Linked DNA regions of Canis lupus familiaris. The protein of the gene in region 1 purifies or fractionates together with the protein of each later gene. This does not show direct contact. Links are inferred from orthologs where the notes say so. Each region holds a gene or a part of one and is shown on either strand. Other genes may lie near its edges.

Region 1 (3,815 bases):
TGCAATTTTCCCAGCCCCTGGCAACCCCTAAATCTGCCCTCCTGTGTGTGGATTTACCTCTTGTGGACATTTCATGTAAGTGGAATCATACCACATGTGTGTGACCTTTTGTGGCTGACTTCTTTGGCTTGGCACATCATTAAGGTTCAGGTGTCACGGTTGAGGGGTATATGACTGTGTTACATTTAAAAAATCCTCAGTTAAAAAACAAGTGTTTTAGCTTCAAGTGCTGTGTCAGACAACATCAGGTGACGCTGTGTTTTTAACTGTCTAGGGCTGCGGAAAAGGGAAATTTTGAAGCTGCCGTGAAGCTGGGCATAGCCTACCTCTACAATGAAGGCCGTAAGTCCTTGCGGGGCTGGGCTGGCCTTGCCCCACTGGGTGCTGAGCACGTAGAACAGGCATGAGCCCTTCCCAGTGGGAGCCATTCAGTCCTTATTCTTGCTTGTCCGGCCATATGCCTCTCCCCTTGTCCACTGGACCCCGCAGGTTGTGTGTAGGTGCTGGGCCCTCTCCTTCCTTGGCCACAGTTCATCTGTGCTGACTGGGACAGCAGTCAAAGGGTGCCTGATTCTACAGGGTATTAATGACGCAGTAGCCACGGCTCCAGGGGAAGGCAGGTCAGAGCCAGCCTGGTGCCTGAGCTCCTTCACCCCCAAGGACCAGGTGGTCCCTGAAAGAAGCTGCATGGCCTTCTCTCCCGGCACCAGCCTCTTTGCTTAGCACACAGAACCAGGCCGCGTGTGTCCAGTCCCAGCTCCCCAAAAGCACAAAGACTGGGGATGGCTGCTAGTTTTCTGTTTCTAAAAGATCTGGTGTCTTGCTGAGAAAGCTCCTGCTCCTATCTGGTTGGCAGGATTGTGGGGACCAGTAGAGATGGTGAGCAGTCCTCCTGCAGGCTCCAGAGAGTGGGCTTCTCTGTCACACAGTGGTTCCTAGACAGAATTCACGAGCCCTGCGGCTCAGCGGTCCAGAGTGTACAGTCAGGCAGTTTTTAGTATGTTCAGAGCTGTGCAGCCATCACCACCATTCACATCTGGAACATTGGCCCAGAAAGAAACACTGTACCCACTAGCAGGGGTTCAGGCTATAGCTCCCAGCAGGAGGGGGGTGGGGGCGTGTGTGCCGCCTCCAGGGGGGCACCTTCCCAGACCTTCCCAGCTTAGGCTGCTGGGAGGACCTGGCAGGGACATGTGATTCACAAGGTAGGAAAGAAGGGGGAGGAGCCCTGTCTTGAAGGGCTCTGCTCTCATTAAACGCTAACAACTTCTTACTGTGTGAGGTTGTAGACTTTCACAAAAGCCTGTGGGGAATTTTGTGCACCTGTCCTTTGGACCCAACTCAGGCTTACGTTCTCCACAGTGTCTGTGTCTGATGAAGCCCGTGCAGAGGTGAATGGCCTGAAAGCCTCTCGCTTCTTCAGCCTCGCTGAACGACTCAATGTGGGTGCCACACCCTTCATCTGGCTCTTCATCCGCCCTCCGTGGTCGGTGTCTGGAAGCTGCTGCAAGGCCGTGGTTCACGAGAGCCTCAGGGCAGAGTGTCAGCTACAGGGAGCAAGCCCTGGCGAGGGACACACGGGAGGCTGGCATGCTGGACGGTCCGAGCCCCATAGGGTGAGGAGACACTGGACCGTGTAAGGCCAGGCGCTTGAGGAACGTGGAGGTGCAGAAAGTCAAGAGTGTGGGTGTGGGGGCATCTGGAGATGAGTCAGCAGGTGGGGAAGGCTCAGAGCTGGGGCTCCCCAGGGAATCATAAGAGGGGCTGGGCTGAAAACCCTTGACAGCTGAGAACACAGGACCCAGGCTCCTGGAAGCCTGGAATCAGGAAGCGCCTCTCGGTATGGGGTTGGGGCCAGGTGGGGGCCTCAAGAACACATGGATGGGGGAGGGGGATGGGCTGGAAGCTTCCTTTCTGCTGATGATCACACTCCCTACCCCCCTTATCGTCTAGACTCACAGAGCATCTCTGCTACACTGCTTGGGGAGAGTGCTCAGTCTCTTCGAGGTGAGTCCATCGCCCTGGGTCCAGTGGGCCTGCCACCATGCAACACAGGACTCTGTTTCTGTGCTACCTACCTTTCTGGCCATTCCAGACACCATGGACCAGGGAGTAAGTGGGAAGCAGTACCCCTCCTGTTGTGCAGGGTGTAAAGGCAGGCTCCACCTGTGAGGAAACCTCCACATCCCACCTGGGAGGGCCAGTGTGGAGGGCCCAGCCAGACACAAACCTCATGCGGGAGGAAAGGAGCCTGTGAGGGCAGAGCTCGTAAGCTCGCTGTCCTGGTGCTGGTCAAAGCACACATCTTAAGTCGTTTCCACTCTTGATTTATTTATTGCACCCCCCCCAAAGATTTTATTTATTCATGAGAGACATAGAGAGGCAGAGACACAGGCAGAGGGAGAAGCAGGCTCCATGCAGGGAACCCAATGTGCGACTCCATCCTGGGACTCCAGGATCACCCCCTGGGCTGAAGGCAGACGCTTAGCCACTGAACCACCCAGGCATCCCTCCACTCCCGACTTAGTTAACTCTGTCAGGAGAAAAGCCCACGAATGTGATTCCAAGAGGTCCGAGGAGAGACGGTAGTGGCCAGTAGAGTCTGGTGTTCTGCAGAAAGCGGGGTGAAAGAAGCCACTGTCTGGGGTCTGTTGTAGGATGAAGAGCGGAAGCAGCAGGCCCAGGACCTGTTTGAAGAGTCTGCTAATCAGGGATGTCTGGTCAGCTCATACCTCCTCTGGGAACGAGACAGGAGGACGGACGTGAGTGGGCCGGGGTCTGGGGAGAAGAGGATTTGTGTTGGCCAGAGGTGCCATCTCCAAATGGGCCCTTTGGCAAGGTTCCGTCCATATGGGAGACCCTTGTGCTGCTCCTGGAGCCCCAGGAGCCTCTGTGCAGGAGCCGTTCCCAATGGCTGCCCCCAGCAACCTCCGTCATTTGGATGTAAGGGGCTGGGAAGAAGGCTGAGCTGTGGACCCCCTGGGGATGTTGGGAGGAACATTTAAGAATTGATGGGTTGGTTCTGAGTTTTTCCAGAGACACAACTATATAAAAGCATGATGACTCTCTTGCACTGACAGATGTCAGATCCTGGGCGATGCCTCTACAGCTTCCGGAAACTCCGAGACTACGCTGCCAAAGGCTGCTGGGAAGCACAGGTAAGGCAGGAGCTGGCCTTTCTCCTTCTACCTCTTCCCGTGGGGACCATGGTGGCAAGATCCCACTCATAGGCAGTAGCAGTGGCTCAGGGCTGGCGCCAGAGCTTACAGGAGTGTAGCTGTGGGGTGTGCAGGGAGGGCGGCCTGGGGGTGCTTCATCTCTGCCCTTTACCCTGGCGCCTCCAGGCCCCCTGCCCAAAGCCAGCCCGGCTGCCCATGCACCACATTGCTGTTAGCCCTCCTGTTGCTCCCTGAGGGTGCCGGTAGCTGGGGCACCTGGGAGCACATGGGTGTGTGGAACATTTCCTGGCTCTCGTCATTTGACCGGCTCAGCAGGTCACCCAGCGTTAGAACCAGGGCACAAGGCATTTGCTGGCAGTGGTCTCTGGACGCTGTCCTGTGGCAGCTATAAAGAATCATTGTTTAAGACAAAGGCAAAAAAAAAAAAAAAAAAAAGACAAAGGCAGCCCCTCTTTGCCAGGCAGGTGCAAACTCACTCTTGTCGCCCCACCAAGGGCGTGTTTGAGAGTTATCTGCCCTAAAAGTGAGGGAAGAAACCACAGAGCGGGAGGTGGCCCAGCCTGACTGTCACAACACAGTAACGTTTATGTCCAGGGCAGTCAGCGAGCTTAGAGAGACAGAACTGCGAACAGTGCA
Region 2 (2,741 bases), on another chromosome or scaffold:
AGGTAGCTTGAGGCCAGTTTTACATTTTCCAGATTGGAGAGGAGGAGAAAGTTAGAAATGGCCGTGTGAGTGGTCTAGATACCAAGGTCAACTTCAGGATGAGAGTCCTGCGTGGTACAGAAGTGATAGAGCTGTAAAGTAGGCTCTTGTGGCTTATCTGGAATAATGTGAAGGGGAAAAATGAGTGGTGGCTTGGAAGGGCTGGCAGGCTTCGGGAGACAAGTTTATAGACCGAAATGAGGAAGGATAAACGTAGGCCTGACTGAGATAAATAAACAGAATGGGCAGTAGGATCAGGAGGGTCTGGTGGTTCAAAAGCTAGGGAGAGGCAGACCCTGGTCTCAGGATGTCGACATGGAAAGAGAATGAAGAGAGCAATGTGGTTGCTCTAATGACCTTGGGTTCAGAAGACAAGGTCACCTGATAAAGGGACAGGCTGGGGAATCTAGACTCCCAAGCTGGGCACAGAAGGCGGAAGAGGATAATAAGGAAGAACTAGGCAAGTCGGGGGGACAGTTGATTTACTTTCCTGATCTGGGATCATCAGTGTAAGTATAGACTTATAAGTAGGAAGCAAGCTCAGATTATTCGGTTTATTGGCTTTAATTATTTTATTATATCCATATGGCATTTGGGGCCTATATAATTAGCCCGATATGATTAGTGAAGATGGTGCTACCTAGGAAGATAATGGTCAGCGTAGCTTAAATAGTCTTAGCAGTTAAGATTTTATGGCTTCTCAAGTTTAAAGATAGGGCCTGTGAACTTTGTCATGACCTGGACTTGATATAATAAAAGCCGATAAATGTTCTTGGTGTAATGGACTAAGACTTTTAAGGTTAGTAGATCTCAGGGCTCCTTGTGAAGTAAAGAATACCTATTTTGGTATTAACAGGAGCCAAATGAATGTTGGGATTTTAAAAAGAACACTTGGTGGGGGGTGGGAAGCAAAAAAGGTAATGAGAAAACATTTCAGTTTTGAGTCTCAATTTCGCCTTGGTCCCAGTGTTCTCTACATGTTTGTGGTAGGAAGTCTTTGCTGTAATTGCTGATATTCTGGGTGTCTCCTAGGGAATTTCTCTTCAACGCCATTGAGACGATGCCTTGTGTAAAGAAGAAGGCAGATTGGGCCTTGCGTTGGATTGGGGACAAAGAAGCTACCTATGGTAAGGCCACTTGGCCCCACGGATGCCTGAGTTTCATCCTCTAAGTGACATCATGGTTTGTTGGCCCTTCCTGTGCACATGTACGGTTGCTCACCGGAACCATGTCGGTGTTAACTCTTCACAGGAGAACGGGTTGTGGCCTTTGCTGCCGTGGAAGGAATCTTCTTTTCGGGTTCTTTTGCGTCAATATTCTGGCTCAAGAAACGGGGCCTGATGCCTGGCCTCACGTTTTCCAATGAACTTATTAGCAGAGATGAGGTGAGTCTAATTCAGGCTAATGTGCACCCCAAACATCTACAACTCTTTGGTTCACTGAAGGGAACTCGATAAAATGTTGCCTCATGTCCACATTGAACATGAATTCAGCCATATCTGGGCTTGGTAGAACATGAAATATATTGAAAGTACTTGTATTCTCAATACTCGTCCAGTCTCCTGTATGAGCCTACTGTGCTCCAAAGTTGGTCGATAAGCATCCTAAAGGAAGTGAGAATCCTTCTGGTCCAGTGTCCTGTCTTTGACTGCACTTGGATTAAGCTGGAGGGAAAGGCGAAGATGTCTAGATGCTCTCATTTGATTCTAGTTGGCAAAGCCAGAGCCACAGACCCTGTCATGCTTGGAGCCCAGTGACCAATAAGTTGATCTTGCTTTGTAAGTTCTTCCTTCTGATCTAGGAACATCAGGGTTACTTGGCACTAAGACTTGTAGACTCCATTCACTGGCAGTTGCATCACTGATTTCCTGACCATTAGGTTGTAAATCTCAAAACCAGCCAAGTCAATCTCAAAGCAGCCTAGTCACTGCTGGGAATAGTGGCAAAATGAGAGCTCACGGATGTAGAAAAAAATGCTTTGAGCTGAAGTCCTACCCTGTCCTGTGCTCCTGTATGGGGCAGCAGGGAACAGACTTGGCCTGCTGTCATTGCCCTGGGTAGCAGTGTTGAGGGCCTTGGGATAAGGCTGAACCTGCCGTGACCTACACAGAGCAGATGGCAGTTGAAATCCTTTTCCCTTTGACAGTTTTAAGTGCTTTTAGTATGTTCGCATGAGACATATGAGGAGAATGCAGAAAAGGGTAAAGCCATTTCCTGTTTCACGTTAACGATAGACGTCTGGTTTTATAGTGATCTTAAACCTTTTCTTCTAGGGTTTACACTGTGACTTTGCCTGCCTGATGTTCAAACACCTGGTCCACAAACCTTCAGAGCAGAGGGTGAAGGAAATAATTATCAATGCCGTTAGGATAGAACAGGTGGGTGATACAGGAGGGTCTCTTGTGCTCACCAGAAGAGGTCTTTATGCTTCTGTTCTATTGAGAAGCTGCGTTTCGATCCCTAGGAGTTCCTCACGGAGGCTTTGCCAGTGAAGCTCATTGGGATGAATTGCACGTTAATGAAGCAGTATATTGAATTCGTGGCAGACCGACTTATGCTGGAGCTCGGTTTTAGCAAGGTACAGTATTGTTTATAGCCTTCTGGTTCTCCTGAAACTGCTGTTCTGTATTTAAATTTTCCTGTGAACCTTTTCAGGTTTTCAGAGTAGAAAATCCATTTGACTTTATGGAGAATATTTCACT

What was found.
Region 2: the proteins of CCNF (region 1) and RRM2 purify together in Homo sapiens (affinity purification with western blotting; 5 studies listed by BioGRID and IntAct, with this or other methods). This does not show direct contact. The link is inferred for Canis lupus familiaris from reciprocal best matches to the Homo sapiens genes CCNF and RRM2.

The regions. Positions count from the first base shown.
Region 1 is NC_049227.1:39,028,953-39,032,767, reverse strand, and holds part of CCNF (cyclin-F), read left to right. Parts: intron 1-274; coding exon 275-342; intron 343-1,362; coding exon 1,363-1,616; intron 1,617-1,953; coding exon 1,954-2,007; intron 2,008-2,389; exon of another isoform or gene 2,390-2,657; coding exon 2,658-2,762; exon of another isoform or gene 2,763-3,080; coding exon 3,081-3,158; exon of another isoform or gene 3,159-3,815. UniProt on the Homo sapiens protein: Substrate recognition component of a SCF (SKP1-CUL1-F-box protein) E3 ubiquitin-protein ligase complex which mediates the ubiquitination and subsequent proteasomal degradation of target proteins.
Region 2 is NC_049238.1:7,115,268-7,118,008, forward strand, and holds part of RRM2 (ribonucleoside-diphosphate reductase subunit M2), read left to right. Parts: intron 1-1,071; coding exon 1,072-1,166; intron 1,167-1,290; coding exon 1,291-1,424; intron 1,425-2,312; coding exon 2,313-2,417; intron 2,418-2,503; coding exon 2,504-2,617; intron 2,618-2,694; coding exon 2,695-2,741. UniProt on the Homo sapiens protein: Provides the precursors necessary for DNA synthesis. Catalyzes the biosynthesis of deoxyribonucleotides from the corresponding ribonucleotides. Inhibits Wnt signaling.